3 linked regions of the Elephas maximus indicus genome follow. The protein of the gene in region 1 interacts with the protein of each later gene in a pairwise test. Links are inferred from orthologs where the notes say so. Each region holds a gene or a part of one and is shown in the gene's direction. Other genes may lie near its edges.

Evidence for each region. The genes of interacting proteins can lie anywhere in the genome.
Region 2: the proteins of MAGED1 (region 1) and RBFOX1 interact in a two-hybrid assay, tested with the Homo sapiens proteins (2 studies listed by BioGRID and IntAct). The link is inferred for Elephas maximus indicus from reciprocal best matches to the Homo sapiens genes MAGED1 and RBFOX1.
Region 3: the proteins of MAGED1 (region 1) and KPNA2 interact in binary tests that used the Homo sapiens proteins (3 or more experiments, as listed by UniProt). The two-hybrid records come from large-scale screens. The link is inferred for Elephas maximus indicus from reciprocal best matches to the Homo sapiens genes MAGED1 and KPNA2.

The regions. Positions count from the first base shown.
Region 1 is NC_064846.1:116,594,288-116,601,682, reverse strand, and holds the start of MAGED1 (melanoma-associated antigen D1), read left to right. Parts: upstream 1-4,382; 5' UTR 4,383-4,532; intron 4,533-5,034; 5' UTR 5,035-5,063; coding exon 5,064-5,108; intron 5,109-5,723; coding exon 5,724-6,431; intron 6,432-7,041; coding exon 7,042-7,395. UniProt on the Homo sapiens protein: Involved in the apoptotic response after nerve growth factor (NGF) binding in neuronal cells. Inhibits cell cycle progression, and facilitates NGFR-mediated apoptosis. May act as a regulator of the function of DLX family members.
Region 2 is NC_064830.1:65,287,670-65,294,715, forward strand, and holds the start of RBFOX1 (RNA binding protein fox-1 homolog 1), read left to right. Parts: upstream 1-4,043; 5' UTR 4,044-4,049; coding exon 4,050-4,097; intron 4,098-7,046. UniProt on the Homo sapiens protein: RNA-binding protein that regulates alternative splicing events by binding to 5'-UGCAUGU-3' elements. Regulates alternative splicing of tissue-specific exons and of differentially spliced exons during erythropoiesis.
Region 3 is NC_064837.1:55,934,867-55,941,702, reverse strand, and holds the start of KPNA2 (importin subunit alpha-1), read left to right. Parts: upstream 1-3,833; 5' UTR 3,834-3,947; intron 3,948-5,315; 5' UTR 5,316-5,338; coding exon 5,339-5,413; intron 5,414-5,560; coding exon 5,561-5,698; intron 5,699-6,836.

The DNA.
Region 1 (7,395 bases):
TTGAATGACAAAATTAGAGAAATGGAGGACAAATTAGTGGCTATCAGGGGTTAGGGACTGTGGTGGGTGAAGGGAGGTAGGTGTTTCTATAAAGAGGTAGCACAAGGGAGATCTGTGTGGTGATGAAATAGTTCTGTATTTTGATTACTGTGGTGATTGTAGAAATCTACACATCTGTTAAAGTGACATAGGACTGTACAAACACATTCTACCAATGTCAGTTTCCTGGTTTTGATGTGCTATAGTCATAAATATAACCACTGGAGGAAGCTGACTGAAGGTTACACAGGACCGCTCTGTAATATCTTTGCAACTTCCTGTATATCTACAATTATTTCAAAATAAAACACTTTTAAAAATCTTAAAAATCAGTAGAATTAGTAAAATAATTTGCTAAGAGCAGGTGGGTACCAACTCTACTTCAAAAGCCATGTCAAAAGAGCTATCTGGTTGGACACCACTGCTGCCGTCACTGCACCCTGGACACTAGGGGCTGCCCTTGGCCCTGCTATTAATGCTGCCCCTAAAACCTGGATTTGCTTGTGGCTGCTTCTACTACCACACAACTATGACAATAAATTACCTGTCTTTGCATCTTTGAATCATTCCTTCCAGATAAAGTGTTAGCTGGAGTTATGCAGTAAAGTTTTGACATATCAGATCCAGGGTGTTCAAATCCCATGCATTCTGAAGAAAGGTCTGGCCTTTGACCAGCTTCTGGGAGGCAATGTCTAAACCCTTGAAATAGCCTGCCTGATGAGTGTCTTTGTTCACCTGGGGTCTTGGGCCATGGCAGATAGTTTATTCCAGCAATGTAATTTATGGAGGGGACTTTCAGCCAGGCAATATCAGTTTGACCTCTGGAGGGGCTGGAGACTGAGTAATTAAGGTCAGCCACATGGGCACCCCATGCCTATATGACCGATCCCCAGTAGAAACCCTGGAGACCAAGGATCAGATGAGCTTTAGTAGTTGACGAAACTCCATTAAGTATTGTCACACATCATTGCTGGGAAAATTAAGTGCTATCCATACAACTCCACTGGGAAAGGACAACTGGAAGCTTATGCCTTGTCTCTGGACTCTCCCCTATGGGCCTTTTACCTTTGCTGATTTTAATCTGTATCCTTTCACTGTAATAAACCATAACCATGAGTTTAACAGATTTTTTAGTTCCTTGAGTCCTTCTATTGAATCATTGAACATAAGCGTGGTCCTGGGGGCCCCTGATGTACTGGTAAATCCTAGATCACATTTTCTTAGTTGCCAAGGGAATATGAAGAAACGACTATCTGGGTTTTGCAGTTGGAGCTATTGTGTAGTATAGAGTACATGCTGTATTACCTTACTAAAATGTGAAAAAAAAAACTTTGTAATAGAGATGACCCCAGGGGTTTTCGATAAGTACCTGTAGGTCTGTATAAAGACCTCCTACAAATCAATAAGATAAAGACAGGCAACCCAAAAGAAAAATGGTCAAAAGATTTGCACAGGCACTTTACAAAAGAAATACGGTAGGTTCATTAATATATGGAAATGTGTTTCAACACATTACTTATCAGAAATGTAATTAAAACACAAGGAGATACCAATACATACACATCAAATTGGCAAAAAATTGGCAAATTCTCACAATACCAAGCACTGAACAGTTTAATACTTTGTGGTACATCCACATCATGGAATATTATGCATCAATTTAATGGATCAAAAGTAGACTGGGGATTAGTAAGATAAATCAGATGCATAAAGTGTATATAATATGATCTTAATATTTGTAAAACAAAAAAATTACTTTTGAGCATGAATGGATATAAAATTGCTTGTTAAAATGCATGTTTGAAAAGGAGGATGAGAATGATTGCACAACTCAAAGAATGTATCAGAGTCACTGAATTGCACATGTAGAAAATGTTGAATTGATGTATGTTTTGCTGTACATACTCTCAACAGAACAACAAAATAAATTTTAAGAAATGCATGACTGGCAGGTAATGGTAGAGATGAAAGACAAGTGTAGGAGGCAATAAACAAAAGAAGGCAATTTAAAATATTCATAGCCTGTATAATGCCATTTATGTAAGAATATATAGACATGCATGTATAGATATGTATACATATAGTGACGTATGAAAGGGTTGCATAAAAATCTTAATAGCAGTTATCTCAAGGTGGTGAAATTTGGAGTGATGTTTACTCAATTTCTAAGATATTTAGGTAATGTTCAAATTTTTAATGATGACCACCCATTATTTATATAATGAGGAAAGAATAAGTGAATTTATACAGAAAAGAAAAAAGAATGTCTCTCAGATTTCTTGCTTGAACAAGTTGGATGGTGGGATTCACTGACTGAGCATGTAAATATGCCAGGTATCCTTCTAGGAGCTGGGGATGCAACAATGAATGAAACAAACAAAAATCCATCTCCCTAAAGGGCTTACATTCTGATGGGGAGAGAAAGAGATGAACAGAAGAGAAGCACACAGTGTTGGTGGGGAGGGGGCTATATACAAAGGAATCAGTTTGGGACATGCCAATTTTGAGGATACCAAGAAATATCCAATAGAAGGAGTAAGGTAGGCAGTTGAATTACGAATGTAGAATTCATAGGCCAAGTCAGGAGTGGATACAGATTTGGAGGCAGAAAACATATAAAATGGTGTTTCAAACCCCTTTTTCTGAGTCTGATCACGTCCCACTGCAGACACTTTACAGAGGAAGTGCTGAAGAAAAACAGGCAGCTGACAGAGGAGGTTGCTATGCAACAGATGAGGAAAGTCATCCAACCAGGCAGAATTGATATTGGCCCTTGGGGATCAAATGTTGCTGTCCTTCCGAGCATTAGTTTCCTTTCATATGCAGGCATCTGGCAGGAATTCATGCCAGAACAAATGTGAAAAACAAAGATCTGGCTTGGATTTTGGGAAGGTGTTTAATTTGAGTTACATCACATCTGTCTATTATTTCTGCCTTTTTGAGTTTCTCTGTCATCCAGGAAGCACAGCGGCATGTGTGTTCTTGTGTCTCCCATTTCTACATATTTAGAAACTGGGGTTCAGAGAGGTTGAGTGACCTGAGCGGCCTCACACAGCCAGTGACAGACAGGCACAGCACTTCATCCCAGGAATTTTGAAGCCCAGCCCAGCTTCATTCCATGAGACCAGAGCTGCCCCAGGCCCCAGCCCTGGAAGGAACCAGAACAAACATTTACTCTGAACCAGGGTTTACACTAGGTTAGGGTTTCCCATGGCTCAGACGCACAAGGGCCTGATTGTCCTGGCTGCTCCAGTGAGCACCAGGGAGGCCTCTGGGACAATGTGTTCATGCCACTCACAACTAAGAGACCTGACAGTGGAGCTATTCCCTTGGAGCAATTCCCACATCTGAATGGACCCACATAGAGCAGTCAGGGGGCGGGGCTGGGTTCTCTACCTGAATTTTCCTGAAGGCAGAGCATGAGCTTGGACCACCAGGAACACAAAGCTTGGCTTTTTGGGACAGATATTGGGGGCTGTCACCCCCAACCAGCGGCACATGGCGTTGGAGTCTGAAAGACCCAGGCACAAATTTTGTGTTTACTGTGGCCTTGTGTAGTTCATTCACCTTGTCTGTAGCTCAACTTCCTTATCTGTAAAATTGGGATGCTGACATCCACCACCTAGGGCAGCTGCGAGAGGAAAACAAGCCCCCGGACAGATCCTGCTGTGTTGTACAAGCTTGCCCCTCCCTCGCCCCTACACACACACACACACACACACACACACACGCGCGCGCGCGCGCGCACACACACACACACAATCCAGCTGGGGCTGCGCAAAATGGCAGGGAAGAAACTAATGTTCTACATTAGTCTGGGAGCTAGTAAGGAAGCCATGTAGAGTCACGTGGCAGGCACAGATAACTGCTTCCCCCAGTAGTGTATCCTTTCTGGCCATTCCTTTTTCTGGGTCTAGCACTTGTCGCAATTAGAGACCTCACATAGAAGAGACCTCATCAATAGTAACCTAAGGAGCGCCGGGCAAGGGGGTGGAGATTCACGCGGACCTGAGAGGAGGAGCCTTGAGAGGGGTGGGATAGAACACAGACGCATTGCGGAAAAGGTAGGGGGTTGGTGTGTGGGGCAAGGGGTGGGGCCAAGAGGCACTGCGCATCTGCTGAGGGATGGGATGTAGCGTAAAGGGAGGGATCGTTGTATACTGTCGATCTGGTTGGTGGTGGAGTGGTGTGTTGGCAAAGGGGCGGGACTGCCTTCCAGTGCACATGCGCATCTTGATTTTCAGGATGAAGCTTTTGTTGGAAAAGCGGGCGGGACTCTAGTTGGTTGTTCAGCGTTTGCGCATGCGCACAACGACCTGAGGCGGTGGGTGGTATATTAGGCCAAGAGGCGGGGTCGCCCAAGCTGCCGCGCTGGCATTTTCTCCTGGACAGGGAGAGGGTGCGGCTGCTGAGAGCCGAGCACTGCAATCCAGATCCTCTGAGTCTTGAAGAAGGGAGACAACGAGGGGGTTGGGGTTGGGGCCTGAGGCAAGGTGAGAATTAGCCCCCAGACAGGGCATCTGCCCCCTGGTGCGGGCCCCCATTTTTTTTTATCATCTTATCCCGGATTCTGAACCCCTTCCTCAAACCTCGATTCACATTCCCCACCCCATCCTCCCTGACTCAGAAGCCCTGTTCGCTATCTGAACCCCTGTCCAGTCCCTCCCATCGCTCGAAATCTCCACAGATTTCTCGACCTCGATCTCTACTGTAACACGATTCCCTCTAATTCGAAACCTCCATTCAACTTCCCAAATCCCGATGTGATCCCGAATTCAAAACGCTCATCTGCAACCGGAATCCCTTCAGTAGTTTCTCGGGATTTCCATCTGGACACTCAGTTCACTTTTCCCGCCCGGATCTGGCCGGTTCCCCTCATATTCGGCACTTCATCCGCCCCCGTAATCAAACCACAGACCCTTTCCCTCAATTCGGACCTTCCTATTTGCCGTCTCCAGTTTAACCCCCAGCTCCTCCCCCACAACCCCCCCCCAGGCTCCACTCTTGCCAGAGGGACTGGAGCCATGGCTCAGAAAATGGACTGTGGTGCAGGCCTCCTCGGCTTCCAGGTGAGATTTCAGCTCCCTAACCCACCATTTCCCCAGCCGCCAGTTCTCCCTGGGCCCCTTTGGCCACCCAAATGCCTGAATCTGATTTTGCCCTCTTTGTGCCTAGACTCTGTTGACTTTCAAATTCTTATCGGTTATTGGGGGGGGGGGGCGTTCCTTTTCAGCCATCAGTCCCTGCTCAGAGAAAGGGGAGACCCTGTTAATAGTCAGGGCAGTCTGCCCAGAGACTGCAGGTTGGATGAGGAACCATTTTTTTCTGGAGTCCTGATGCTTGTAGAGCAGTCTGCCTCCGCCTCCCCCAAGACCGTCCTCCACCTCCACCACCCCTGTCTCCTGCATTCCCCACTCCCTGCGACCCTTCCTTATTCTCCTCAACTCACTCTACCTCCGACCCTGAAGTCCTACTGTAGGCTTCACCCTCATTCTCACTCCGCCCCTACCACCACCACTTTTGTTGTGGTTCTGCTCCTGTCAGGCCCCCTAGGTCTCCACCTCAGCCCTCCTCCTTTTGCACCAGCTGGCCACCTGCACCTCCCCTGTCTGCTCCTCCCACCCTCCCACTCCTCCTTCAGAGGCCCAGAGATTTAATCCCCTCCCCCCACCCCGTATTTACAGACTGAAGCCTCTATGGAAGACAGTGCCTTGCTTATGCAGACCCTTATGGAGGCGATCCAGATTTCGGAGGCTCCACCTACCAACCAGGCCACAGCAGCTGTCAGCAGGCTGAATGCAAGCCCCTCGAGTTCACAACCTCCGTCTGCCAAGGAGATGACTGACATTCATGTTGTAGCAGCTGCCACTAGGCCTAAAACAGCCCTTAAGGCCCAGAATGCCACCACAAAAGGCCCAAATGGTGCCTATGATTTCTCTCAGGCTGTTAATGCCAAGGAAATGCCCAACACCCAACCTAAGGCAAGCTTTAAGCCCCAGAATGCCACCACAAAGGGCCCAAATGTTGCCTATGATTTTTCCCAGGCAGCAACCACCAACAAATCCGAGATGGGTTTTAAAGCCCAGAATGCCACTACCACGGTGGGTCCAAATGCCACCTACAATTTCTCTCAGTCTCCCAATGCCAGTGAGATGACCAACTCCCAAACTAGGACAGCCTTCAAGGATTGGAATGATACCACCAAGGCCTCAACAGCTGATACCCAGACCCAGAATGTTAACCAGGCCAAGATGGCTACTTCCCAAGCTGACATAGAGACCAACCCAGGTATCTCTGAACCTGAGGGTGCAGCTGCACAGGCATCAGCAGATGGTTCCCAGGCTCAGAATCTGGAGTCCCGGACTATAATTCGGGGCAAGAGGACCCGTAAGGTGAGATCCCTGCTAGGTCCACTTTGGTTTGGACTCTCTCCTTTCTTCTTTGTGATTGTTCATTTGTTATAAACAAAAAATGTAATTGCCTGTATTCTGTTAGATTGTAGAGGATATTGAGGTAAATGTGATAGTTTCTTTCCTCAGAGTGTCCACAGACTGATGAGATAAGACAATGCTTACAACATGGATATAATTTTATTTGTGTTTTGATAGTAGCTACCATGTGTTAGGCCTAGAACTAGCCACATTTATACAAATTATCTCAATTAAATCTTGAAGGTAACTCTTTATCAGCTAGGGATTATAGTCCCAGTTTTACAGAGAAGGAAGATGAGTCCCAGAAAGGTGATATGACTTGTCCAGGGTGGTACAAGCAGTGCCAGTGGTGGACACAGGAAGAGGAGAAGCCTCAGGCCCCACCCTTGGGTTGTTCCTGGCCTGATTCGGAGATGAAACTCCTGCCTGGAAGATAGTGAAAGACAAGCCTGGGGCTAGTGGGTCAGGCTGTCACTACAGGTGAGGGTTTAGGAGGCTTTCCCAGAAGTGTTAGGGTGAGGACATAGAACCATCTGGTGACCCCTGACCTTTTTTCTCTCTGATGATGCAGATTAATAACTTGAATGTGGAAGAAAACAGCAGTGGGGATCAGAGGTGGGTCCCACTGACTTCAGGTACTTGGAGGTCTGCACCAGTTCCAGTGACCACTCAGAACCCACCTGGCGCACCACCCAACGTGCTCTGGCAGACGCCATTGGCTTGGCAGAACCCATCAGGCTGGCAGAACCAGACAGCCAGGCAGACCCCATTGGCACATCAGAGCCCCCCAGCTAGGCAGACCCTACCAACCTGGCAGAACCCAGTTGCTTGGCAGAACCCAGTGATCTGGCAGAACCCAGTGATCTGGCAGAACCCAGTGATCTGGCCTAATCCCATTGTTTGGCCTGGCCCAGTTGTCTGGCCA
Region 2 (7,046 bases), on another chromosome or scaffold:
AAAATATTGCTAAGTCACCCCTTGACACTTCCACTGAGCCAATCCTAGTATGGATAATTAATTACGCTTACAATAGAAAGTCTCTCATTTTGTCCAACTGGAGTCTCTTGCTTTGAGGTATGACAACTATAGTAGAAAGTATCCTTAGTGAAATGTCTGCTATTTTGACACACTTAAGAAGTTACAATACAGGGTTAGGAAAAAGAAAAAAGAAGGAAAAAAAAAAGAAATCAAGAGTAGTTTCTTTATTGTTTCAAATAGCTGGCAAGTTTAGGGAAAGAAAAAAGTTACAAATACTATTGTGGAAGTCAAATTAAAACTTGAGCGGTAGCCTTCTGCATAAGGAAGTTCCATTTGAAGGTGATCTTGTTTCTTGCTGGTTTTCACATTTTCTTTCAGCTTCCTACAGGGTGTGAGTACCTATTCAATTAAGGGCCCCTGTACCTGAAAGGCAGGCAGGGTGGCCCTCAAACGTGTACGAGGTGTATACATACATACATACGTCCAAGCGCCCGGGGGTTCTTCGCAGAAGAGACAAGATTATGTCTTTCCCCGCTTCTCCCATTTATTGACGTAGAAGCATCATTCAGGAGCCAGTGGCATTGATGTGGCTCTCTCCCAGTCTCTGTTGAGATCAAATTCAAATCCAGCATCCCCAGATGCTGGTCAAAAGGCGAGCGAAGTTTCATCATCCAGGGAGCAGAGGTTGCAGGTATGGTGCAGTTTGACATGGCGTCGCTCGATGCTGTGTTACTGATCCGTGGGCAGTGATATTAGCGAGTGTAAAAACCTTGCCTGCCTGCTTCTTTAAGTGGCTGGCGTGTGTCTAGGGTTTGTACTTGCCTCTGTGCATGAGCGCGTTTGCATGCGCTTGTGTCAGAATGTGTGAGTTGGTCGTCCAGAGAATGGAGCCTGGCTGAGAATCCTTTTGAGATGGAGGTAGAGGGTCTGCATCCCATTGTTTCATTTTGCAGACTTCCAATATGCCTGGGCTGTGAAGAGATAAGTTTAAAGGGAAGCCTGGGCCGTTATTGCAGAATGGGGCTGCAAAAATCCAATCACCATGAAAAGGTTTTAAACTTTGGGGAGAAAACGGGCCGGCAGACCACTATTGGCTCAGTGCAGCTGAGAGCCGTTATTGGTTCCTTACATAATGTATTTGTTTTTTCATTAAACCATTCAGATAAGGTCTTATTAAAGTGCCATGTATTATTTATCATGTTTCTTATGAAAATGAGCTAAAGGGAAAATTCTATCCTCTTCTTGGGGCATTTGCAGGCTTTCCCTGTGCTGGCAAGAAAAGAAGCAAGGGAAGAAACAGAACGGAGGAAAGCATGGCAAACCCTGTCATAGAGCAGATTGCTTGAGGCAAAAGGAAAGGACCGGAAAAGGAGAGGAAGGGGAGGAAAGACCCTTGTATTCTGTATATGCTTTGTTCAGTGGCTTTCTTTTTGATTTTGTGAATTGCAAAAAAAAAAAAAAGCAGGTAGAGACTAAGGAAAGAAAGATGAAAGCAAGAAAGAGAATCATTTTATTTGTAAATCAGAGCTTGTCTGTTAAACAGGATTTCAGAGTCAACGTAGAGCAAGGATTTTTTTACAAACTAACCACTGTCTGCTCCCACAAAAAAAAAAAAAAAAAAAAAAGTAGCAGAGAACAATGCCCAAGGCACTCCTAATCCCCCATGCCAACTTCTACCTGGGGCTAAATGGGCTGTCGTTGTTGTGTGACTTCAAGTCCATTCCGACTCATAGTGACCCCATGTGACAGAGTAGAACTGCCCTGTAGGGTTTCCTAGACTGTCATCTTTACAGGATCCGATTGCCAGGTCTTTTCACCTGCAGAGCTGCTGGGTAAGTTGGAAGTACCAACTCTTTGGTTAGCTACTGTGTCTCTATTCAGTTGACGGGATTCGTGAGCCCCAGTATGGTTGAACAGACTGGTTTGGCAAATGAAAAAGTAAAAAGAAGCAATCTGGTTTAGGCCTAGTATTTGGCATAACGAGGACCTTGTAGTTACTGATAGCTTTTCAAAACAAACAGCAAAAACAACAACCAAAAAATGGAGCTGTGCAATAGTTAATTTCCTTTCCTTCAGAAAGGATTTTGATTAGCCTCAAAGTGAGTTGTCACTTCTGAGCTGATGGTTCAGTTCAGAAGAGGTCTTGTGGCTGAGAGCATCTATGTGAGCCTCACAGAGAATCTGGGGGCGAGCCCCTGGTGGCCAGTCCCCTGGGTCACGTCCTAAATGCTCCTTTGTGAGAATCCCCATCCCCTCTCAAAGTGTGACCATGTCCTGCAGACATTGGCAAGCCTTCAACAAGCATCTTTGCAGGGAAACCCGCAACCCGAAAAGATTCTGTTCAGAGAACTGACCTCTTGCTCGGGAAATAAAAAGAAAATCCAATCACTGAGTCAAAAATCTATATAATAAAAAAAAATATGGCTACTATACAGTGATCATAATCTCACTAGTGCCCAGAATGTGCACTAGTGGGGACCAAGGACAAGTTAGAGTCTTAATATTTTCTTTTGATTTGCAGATCACATCCTATTTGATCGCATAAAGACTAACACAAGCTACTAATGAATAATTATTCCTTCATAAAATACAGGAGAGGGGGAGACCCATCTGCAAGAGCAGAATGCTAATTTGGCCAAAGAGGGCTGGCCAGACAAGAATAAAATAAACCATTTTAATTTGCCCACTGCAGCCCACAGAGTAATCTCTTATCAGACACAAGCCTCCCCCAGCCTGTGCATTCATAATCTGAGAAGAGCTGGGATTAGAAGCCCCCTTGCCTTCCCCAGGAGCTGGCATGTTAGTCCAACAGGCTTGATTTCAACGCCTGCCCAGGCAGTTTGCCCCAGCGGTTAGGATAGGGGTTGGTTTGCTGAGCGCACTGCTGCCTGCCCAGCAGAGGCAGAGAGCCAGCGAAAGCTGCGCCCCAAAAAGCCTCGGGGCTTGTAGCTGCCTTTGCTGCTGGGGCACAGACACCGCCCTCCCTCCAGCGCCCCCAGCCCCAGCTTCCCCCTAATCGGGGCTCCCCAGATCTCAACACCTCCAGCTTCTTAAGAGAGGAAATCCTATTTCTGTGTTTATTCGAGGAGTCAGGCAAACCAACCGCCAGGAAAAGCAAGGAGTCTGGGTCCCAGCTGGGCGAGCACAGGAATTGTCCAGCTCAAGGCTGGATGCTGGCGATGTGGGGCGCTCGCTTGCTTCCTCGCCCGCCCCGCAGAGATTTTTAGCAGACACAATTTGAATTTTGGTGAGTCGTTAAGGAAAAAAAAAGGCAAAGGAGAGGAGGGGGAAAAAAAAAAACACAACCCTGCCCCTGGACCCATTTGACAAATGAGAAGGCAGGCAGCATCAGCACCAAAGGAGTGAGCCTCCTCTGTGAGTCAAAATCTCTCTCCCTCTTTCTCTCTCCTCCCCTTTTCATCTCTCTCTCCCTCTTTCTCTCTCCTCCCCTTTCATCTCTCCCTCTTTCTCTCTCTCCTTTCTCCCTCCTCCTTCTCTCTACCCGCCTCCTACTCAGCATTACAGGAGAGTATCCATCCAAACCTCTCTACCTTCCATCCAAGTTGCCTGTGCTTGGTCCTGTCATCTTCACCGGGTGTGGGGTGGGGGGCACCTTCCACTTTGGGGGCGGTTAAAAAAAAAAAAAAAAGCAGGCCCAACAAACCAGAAAACGATCCAGCAGGGAGGAAAACAAAATAGTTTCCTGGTCCTCTCAAGTGTCTTAGTTTCAGGCAGAACAAGGCTGGGATCTAGCAAACCCAAAGAGAAAGAACGCCAGGGAGGAGGGACACGAGGGGTGCGGGGGGAGGGAGAGAGAGAGAGAAAGAGAGAAGAGACAGAGACAGCCACCCGCGTTTGACTTAGATAATCAGCAAAATTAAAAAGAGGAAAAAAAAAAATTGTAGCGGCCAGGCAGGGAGCAACGTGATTGCATGCGAGCGTCCCCACTTGTGCTCGGCGGGTACCACAGAGACACGATGCAGCACCCTCTGACGGGGGCCACCTGCGTGGCGCTCCCCAACGTGGGCATGTGTCCCCAGCTCTCGTGTGCCTTGACTTTTATGTACTTACAGCAGGTAAGGCGCGCCTCTGCCTCCGTGGCCGCTTCCCGGGGGCTGCACCGACTCGGTACCCTCATCCGTGGGCTGCGCTTTCCTGCCTTGGAGGGGGCTTGGGGAGGGGGGCTATGCGCTGGCACTGGAGGGGTGGATCTGAGCCCTTCGTTCTCTGCGGAGCCCAGAAACCCCCTGCCGAGCTGGTTTTGCATCTCACTGAATACTTTGCATGCCTGCCTCCCAGCCTGGGTACCGGAGTTTGAAATTGAAAACTGTATTTTTTTTTTCTTATTCGCATCCTTCTTCTGTCTGTGCGTCTAGTGGCGATTTGAAAATCAGAACCCTTTGATGCTAAGAGTTTGGAGTCTTTGTGGAGGCATTCGGGTGCCTGTAGTTTTCATTAAGGTGATTTAATGGGGAAGAAAAATCATCTACGTAAGCATGTGTGTGTATGTTAAGTTTTTTTTTTTTTTCGCCTTAAGTTTGCCTGTGTCGTGTTTTGTGCTGTGCTGATTCTTTATGGGATCAGGCTGTTTAGATTTCTGGATGCTGATAGCCCCAAAATCTGCCTCCAAACTCACAGGCAATGCTATGTACGGTGAAGGCAAGAGGTTTAGGATGCTGTCTTTGTTGGCACTGTAGAGGCATTTGTGTCTTCTCTTCACTCCCCGCTTAATTAAGGTCTTACTGAGGGATGTTGTGTTTGTCTGTTTGGCTTTGCACTATCCCTACATTTCAGTCTTCCGCTGTGTCTATTTTTCTCTGGGTGTTTCCCTCAGACCCCCTCTTTCTCTGTCTTCCTCACTTTACTAGAAGGGCTGGCACTGGTACCTGTGCCTGGGCTTGGGAATCCGCGGAGCATTGCCTTTGGGGGGCGGGGGGGGGGGGACAGCTTTCTGCTCTCTGTCAAGGGGTCAGTGGCTGTGCCTGTGAACTGGCAGGGCCAGAGGGTTTGTCATTCCAATGGGAAACCCTCTCCCTTCCCCATCCTGCTCTGCGAAGAGTTTATTGGGATTGTAGGCATTTTATCTGCTTTCCACAGACTCACTTCCAGAGTGCCATTTGTTAACATGTGTGTTTGTATGTTGACACAACTTCCTTCACAAGAGTTGAGAGGTGCCTCCTTCCCTAAAGGCCCTCCATTTCCATCTGGATTATAGGCATAGATGCATTTATAAAATGTCAAGATTGTTTTGAACATTTGGGTAATTTGTTATCAAGTTGGTTGCCTCCAGAAAATATATCTTAGGATTATTTGGTTGCAAGTCTGAGAACAGCCTGTTATTATTATTTTTGGTAATATCTTGAGAACAAATTGGTTTATCCTTTTAAATATCTTTTTTATTCCATTTCTCATTAAGTAAATTGTGCCAGGAAACATTTCCCAAGAGCATACTGGTAACGTATTATATGACTCATCTGCTGCTAGCATTTCTTTGCTGTGTGCGTGTGTGCATGCGTGTGTGTGTATGCGTGCGTGTTTTACACCAGTTACCCACCAGAAGAACATTCTAATGAGTGTTTCTACAGATGCTAAGCCTCGGTCGGATTTAATCAAATTATTAATACGAGTTGATCTTGTGCCTCCTACATCCACTCCTTTTACGTTATTTATTAATCAATTTGAACAGCATTACCTAACAAGCAGAATGCTATAGGTATTCAGTGTTCTGACCAGTTCTTTGTGCGTTGTTCTTTTTTTTAAAAATAAATCAATGCTTCTTCCTCCTAAATTGTTAAATCGGTTTGCTCATTTAGACACAACTTGGGAAAGCAGGCGGTGTCTTTGAGGGAGAGGTTGTTATTTTTGCCATGTGAAGGACAAGTATATAGGATAGGCTCAGGGGCTTTCATCATCCGCCCTGCTGGCTCTTCCAGGAGTGAAAACTCCCCTGCTCTGTGGTGGGAAGGCTCAAAGGAACCATTGGCAGCCATAACAAATATTTAGAAGTGACTAGATCAGCATTGTGGTTCCATATGAAGATGGGTAAAGGGTGGGTTTTGCATTTTGCTTGGGAATGCCTCCTCTTGAAAGGATTTGTAATGCTGTCCGTGAAAGTGCTGATAACATGATGCTATGACAAGATGTCAGAATGGGGTATGTGTGTGTGTGTGTGCACGTGTGTGCATTTTCTCTGAGTTTTGCTAAGTGTCTGAAGTATAGTAGAGGCAGTCTTTATTTGTGTCTGCTTGACTCAGAATGTAGTTTTCCAGCCATACCTCCTACCCTCCCTAAAGGATCACCATCAGGGCGGGAGAGACGTACCTTTGGGTCACCTCTCATGGTCCTCACTGCCATGATAGGTTGTGTGACAATTCCATGGCATTGTTTTAATTTACCAATCCAGACAATTGAATGATTAAGAGTGTGAAGTAGTTCATTTTAATCTTTACAGACTACGCACAGATGCAATCCGTGTGACTTCGGCCTATACGACACAGCTTTTGTTGTTGTTTTTTGCTCCTTATCTGTAACTATTCTTGTGTCTTTAACCGAAAGATCAGTGGTTCAAACCCACCAGTAGCTCTGTGGGATAAAGATGTGGCAGTCTGTTTCCGTAAAGATTTACAGCCTTGGAAACCCTATGGGGCAGTTCTACTCTGTCCTACAGCGTTGCTATGAGTCCAAATCGACTCGACAGCAACGAGTTTGGGTTTGCTTGTTTGTTTGTTTTGATTTATTTAATTTTGAAGATCAGAGGACAGATCAATACTCACAAAGTAAGTTGAGGAACCAGTGAATCGGGCCACGTCACAGTAAATGATGCCTTGGCTGGAAACATTTCGGAAGACACCTATTTCAGGAGTATGTGTTATCTTGATATTGTAAGAAAACAATTAAAACACAAGCATCTTATTCAAAGGCTTTATTGTTCCTGTCTTATACACGCACAGACTCTGATCAGGTGGTACCCAGAGTCTTCACTGAAATACAGCATCGTCTCCAGGAATGAAGTCTGATATGGCTCC
Region 3 (6,836 bases), on another chromosome or scaffold:
GGGGCCATGACCACCAGCGTCCGTCCAGTCTCAGACCATTAAGTCTGGTCTTATGAGAATTTGGGGTCTGCATCCCACTGCTCTCCTGCTCCCTCAGGGGTTCTCTGTTGTGTTCCCTGTCAGGGCAGTCATCGGTTGTAGCCAGGCACCATCTAGTTCTTCTGGTCTCAGGATGATGTAGTTTCTGGTTCATGTGGCCCTTTCTGTCTCTTGGGCTCGTAATCACCTTGTGTCCTTGGTGTTCTTCATTCTCCTTTGATCTAGTACCTTTTTTATATTGGTAGATCTGCCAGAAATGTTCTATTTTGCATTCCCACCAACAGCATATGAAAAGCTATCTATTTCTTCAAATCCCTACTCCCGTCGCGTTGCTGCCAAATCCCTACTACACTAAATGTTATTGGCCACCAAAATGACAAAAACAGTATCTCATTTTTAAAAACTGCTTTTCTTAGTGAAATCTGATATTTTCATTTATTTATAAGTCACTTATATTTCTTCTTCTGTAACCATGCCCATTTTTCTATTGGCATTTTTCTATAAAGTTGTTGGTCATTTTCTTATTGATTAGAAAATTATCTGGTTATTGATTATATGATTATCTGGTTATAAAATATGGATAGAAGCTCTTTTTTGTGTATGTAAGGAGCCATATGTCTTACCAAGCATGCGATCTGCCCAATCTATTGGTGTACGACTTGGCTTAATCTCTTTTATTAAACCTGCACGTACCTACTGTCTGCTAGATAACTTATTCAAGCCCCTGGCTTCAGAGAGCATTTATGCCATCCCAAATTTAAATTTCCTGACAGCATCTTTTGAGACTGAGGCCTGTATAGTCAAGTTTCTACTCAAGCATTCACTCATCTACAAATATTTATTGTGCAACTTCATGTGCTAGACACTGTTAAGGGTGTTGACAATTCAGTAGTGAACAAAATAGATAAAAACCCTTGTCCTCATGGAGCTTACACTATAGTGCTAGTGTAGGTTAAGAATCCTAGTGTCAGTTAAGAATCTTTTGGATGCAAGTGACACAGCACTCAAATTGGCTCAGCACAAAGGGGAATTTATCAAATGATGTAACCAGAGAGCCCCTGGGCAGAACCAGCTTCAGGCTTGGAATGATTCAGGCAATATTGCCACGATCCACCTCTTGGATTTGCACCTCTGGCTCCTGTCATCCCAGCACACTTCCGGTGGAAGAAAAAGGACTTCTCTCTCTTGGCAGCCTTAGTATAAGTGTTGTTGCACCATGCCACATCTTCATCCCTAACCAATCCCTGTGTCTGGGAAATGGGACGTGCTGATTGGCTTAGGACAGACAGGCTCCTTTTCTGAATCTGGAGCTGCAGGCAGCACATCCAAACTTCAGTGGCTGGGGAGGGGGGAGACTCATGGTTCCCTGAGGCAACATTGTATCTTTCAAAGGCATCCTTCACTTTTTTTTTTTTAATTTTTATTGAGCTTCAAGTGAATGTTTACAAATCAAGTCAGTCCGTCACATATAAGTTTATATACACCTTACTCCATACTCCCACTTGCCCTCCCCCTAATGAGTCAGCCCTTCCAGTCTCTCCTTTTGTGACACTTTTGCCAGCTTCCAACCCTCTCTACCCTCCCGTCCCCCCTCCAGGCAGGAGATGCCAACACAGTCCCAAGTGTCCACCTGCATCCTTCACTTTCGATGTGTATCTGCTTTCAGGTGCAAGTATGGAAGTGGTTGAGAGCATGGGTCCTGGAAGCAGACTTCCTGGGTCTGAGTCTTGTCTCTGTCATTTACTGGCTGTGTGACCCTGGATAAGATTCTTAACCGCTAGTGATTTAGTCTTATGTGAAACGTTACAGACAACCTTGCAGAGTTGTGGATATGAAATGTGTTCATGTGTATAAACATGTCGAACACCTCCAGGCACATAAAACGATTATTTTCAAGCAACAGAAAACCCAATTTAACTAGCTTAAACAATAATGAAAATGTATCCGATCAAATTATTGCAAAGTCATTTAATTGCAGCCTTCAGAGGTAGGGCAGGCTTTTGATCAGAGCTCTGGTTTGGCATCTCTACAGTTTTCTTATTCAGATTTCTAGGGCTCACATCCTCTGCTCAGAACAGAGCAAGCTTTCCAACCTTCAGCCATCAAACAAAAGGCATAGGCTTCCCAACAGGGGGAACTTAGGTCACGTGCACACAACTGAACCTTTGCAGCAGCCAAGAGAATGCTCTGCAGTCATTGGTTTAGGCATGAATTCCTTCCATGTTCTTGAACCTAGGGGGTGGGGGTTATGCTGATTGGGTAGTTTGTGAGTAGGAACAATCCCTGTGGGTACTGCAAAATGAATGAGACTGGCATGGATGCAAGAATGGACAAAGTTCACAGTTTGAATTTATTTGTAGTGAAAAAGAAAATATAAATTTTCTAAAATTAACTTTTTTTAGAATACAGAAAAATTGCAGAGAGAAAACAAAAATGGCCCACAATACCATCGTTGAATTTTTTTTTTTTAAAGTACACGGCAAGAAAACGCAAACATTTATACGGAAATGTATAAAATACAACATAGAACGTTACTGGAACAATTGGCAACACTAACGCTGGAAAATGGACTGTATATTTAAAAAGTAGCATCAAAATCAATTTCCTGAACTTGAATGCAGTGTGGTTATATAGGAGAATGTTATTCTTAGGAGACACACGCTGAAGTATTTAAGGGTAAAAACCTAAAACAAAACCCGTTGCCGTCGAGTTGATTTCCTCGAATGGTGCAAAAAATAATATGTAAAAATCATACATATACATACACATAGTGTGTATATGTATACTAATATATATAACTGCATGACTATAACAGATAAACAGCAAAAGTAGCAAAATGTTAACATTTGGTAAGATGGGTAAAAATTTGCAATTATGTATTTTAAGTTATTTAAAAATAAATGGTTTGAGAATGCGTGTGTGGAGAAACAAGCATAATCTTTTTTATTTGTGGCTTCTTACACAGTCTTTTGGAGCCCTGGTGGCGCAGTGGTTAAGAGCTACAGCTGTTAATCAAAAGGTCTGCAGTTCCAATCCACTAAAAGCTCCTTGGAAACCCTATGGGGCAGTTCTCTTCTGTCCTTTAGGGTCGCTATGCTTCGGAATCGACTGGACGGCAAGGGGGTTTTATGGAGGGGGAGGTGAGGAAGATCTGCGTTGCATTTTTTAGTTTTAAAAAAATTATTACATCATAAAAGTCTATTAAAAAACCGTTGTCGTCGAGTGAATTCCGACGCATAGCGACCCTATAGCCCCGTAGGGTTTCCGAGGAGAGCTGATGGATTCCAACTGCAGTCTTTTTGGTTAGTAGACAAGCTCTTAACCACTGTATCACCAGGCCTCCAATCCCGCCCCCCACCCCCGGTTCCTTTCTGTGTCGTATCTGGGAAAAACAAGTCATAGCAATGTTTTTACATAAAGATGTTTTTCAAAAATGACTTTCAGAATAATTTGAGGTACTTGGCCAAAACAGCCCCCCAGAACACCAACAGCGACTGCACCTACAGGGATGCCTTTCGGAAGCCGAGAGCGGCCCGAGCCTCCGGACACGCTGGGTTGGGAGCCGCCCCTTCGCGCGGCCTGCCGGGATCTGGAGTCCTCCCACTCTGGACCGCAACTGCAAGGCGTTCTGGGATCGCCAGGCCGCTCTCGTCTCGCGATGTTATCTCCCATTCCCCTAAGCTCTATGACCCCCCCCCAAACGTGTTTTTCAAATCCACCAATGGATGCATAGCTTAGGCTCGAACCAGCCAATCGGAATGCGGAGCCACCGGGAAATTTAAATCGCGCCGGCCGGCTGCACGAGCCACACCGTCTCTGGTCTGAGCCGTGTTGGACGACTGTGGAGCAGTCGGCCCGCAGCGTGTGAGCTCCCCGCACCGCCTTCTGTGGAAGCCTAAGGCCGCTCCGTAAGTACGAACTCAGGCCGCAGCCCGACCGCAGCGATAACGGCTGGCCCGCAGGGCGCGCTCTGTTTGGAGGAGGCGGGAGGCGGCCTCAGGGATACGCTGGGGCTGGCTTCGGCCTTCCTCGTTGACAAGGCCTCTGGGGCGTCGTTTGTTGTCGAAGCGGCTTCGTTTCGCGATGCGGGAGCTGGAGCTTTAGGGCTCCGAGGTTCGGCTAACGGCAGCGAAAGCCTTTGTGCGTCGCGGCCAGGAGAGGCAGAATGAGACAGGCCTGAGGGCCAGTGTCGCGGACAGGTCCTGCCTCTCCTCCGCCCTCGCCCGCAGCGTCTTCCCCGGGATGGGGGCCAGGGGCTGGGGCGGGAGGTGGCAGTTGGAGGACCTGTATCTAAAAAAGCAGGCCAAGAGTCGGCAGATTGTCAATCATGTCGTAGACGAAAATAACGGGATTAAAGATAGCAAGCTGTAAGGAGGGTTTTTACTTTTGTCGTCTTTTGGAGATTGCTCCTTAGTATCTGAGCCTGAATGAGGCAGAGCTGATGGCAGCCTAATTCAGTGCGTTCGAACGCGAAATTCTGGAAATTAAAATGCTTGCGAGATGCTTAGGGTGCAGGACTGCGTCGCAGGTTTTCATTGTTGACAGGAAATGATACGGCAGACTCCATAACTTAATGATGAGTCAGATTTTAATTTTCAAATGTGGAAAATGCACTCTTTTTTATGGCCATTTGAAACCAATGAAAGTAGGAAGACTCCTGGAGAGAGCCTCCAGTTGATCTGAATTTATTGCCAGGTGGACGTGGGTCTTAACTGCAAGTTAATTCGGTTCCCCCACTTTGTCTTCACTTAGCTGTTTTGGACCCGCGAGAGTCTAGAGCTGCGATGTCCAGTATGGTTGTTGCCAGCTGCATGTGGCTATTGAACTCTTGAGATGTGCGTAGTCAGAATTGGGGTGTGCTGTAAACATAAATTACACCGTGGATTTCAAAGACTATGTAAAAGAATTAAAAATGTCTCATTTTTTACTATTGGTAACATGTTTAAGTGATGTTTTGGCTTAAATAAGATTAATCTGTTTATCATCGCCTTTTTATAATACAGCTACTAGGAAATTTAAAATTCTGTGGTTTGCTTTGTATTTCTGATGGACAACACTGGTTAAACTCTTAGCTCTTGTCCGCGGGCGGGCGGGCGGGCGGGGGGGGGGGGGGGGTGCGGTTATTGTTTGGCCAAAACGATCTTGTAATGCTGAAAACGTGAAATTCCTTCTCCAGTATAGAAGTGTGGATTCAATATATGCTTGGAAATTTTATTATTGCAAAGGCAAAATGATAAAAGGGAGTTTCTTTTTCTCTCCTCCACCCCCCAATCTAGCTTTCTTCCTTTGTTTCACAACCATGTCCACCAATGAGAATGCTAATTCACCAGCTGCCCGGCTTAACAGATTCAAGAACAAGGGGAAAGACAGTACAGTGAGTACCTTCTGTTGCTTTCTTATGATACTTTTTAATGGGAAGATGTTTGGCAAGGGATCAAAAACTTGAGGGAATTAAAAACGCCCTCACTTGATAATGAAAATTATTAATAAGGTGAAACAATGTTTCTTTTCTTTACTCAAGGAAATGAGGCGGCGCCGAATAGAAGTTAATGTAGAGCTGAGGAAAGCTAAGAAGGATGACCAGATGCTGAAAAGGAGAAATGTCAGCTCTTTTCCTGATGATGCTACTTCTCCACTGCAGGAAAACCGCAACAACCAGGTAAATGTATTTTAGTTCATGAATTATAATAAATCCAGAAGATTAATATGGGTTTTTCTTAGAAACTTAACATTAGTAGCAAATCTGTGAAGATCTTTTTTCTGTAATTAAGGTAATGGAAGGTTACCGAAGTTTTCTTCTCTCCTGCCCACACCCATAATCCAGTGGAGCTGATTTCCAGATCGTTAGCTTCAGGTTTTCCTACGCTTCTAGCTGCTAGCTGGGTCCCTTGACCTGATAATTCCAGTGTTAACTGAAAGTGTGTCTGGAACCACCCACTTTCTGGCTTATTGTTGTTGAATCAGTTCCCACCCATAGCGACCCCATGTGACAGGGTAGAACTGTCCTACAGGGTTTTTGTGGCTATTATCTTTACTGGAGCAGATTGCCAGGCCGTTCTCCTTTGGAACCACTGGATGGATTTGAAGCAACAACCTTTTGGTTAGCAACCAAGCGCTCAACCATTTGTGCCACCAGGGCTTCTGGCTTATTACTGTCACCAGCTTTGTTCAGGCCTTTTTTCCCCTGAAATAGTTATAGTAGCCTCCTAATTTAGCTTCCCCTTTTCATTCCATGCCACATACTAGTGCTGTACTTTTTTCCCTAAAATGCTGATGTAAACATGATCTCTCTCTACTCAAAACCTTGGATAGTTTAAATTCCATACTCCTTCATTTAGCATTGAAGACTTCATTTGAGTTTTCAAATTTATCATGTTCATCTTTTCTTCCAAGACAGTTAACACTTTCCCACCTCTTGGCCTTTTTCACATTGTGCTTTTCTTAGCACTCCACATTTATCGTTTTTTTTTTTTTTTTTTCTTTCATTGAATTATCTATGTGGTATGCTAGTTCTAGAGTACTACACTCCTGTCTTCTCCTCATGGCACTTTCTGGTCAGTCCAACAGGGAAGACTCTCCCTCCTTAGAATTCCTGTAACACTCCGATCCTGCACCAAGGTTAAAGAGTTATCTTTTTTTTTTAATGGTTGTTTCTCTACTTGCCACATTTACTTTGTTTTTAAGCTTCTAGGAAGAAAAGGTCACTGTCTTTTTGAGTTAATCATCACTTTGCTTCTCAACCTTTATACTATGAATCACAATATATGGCGTTTGTATTTGCAGCAGTGTACCATGGA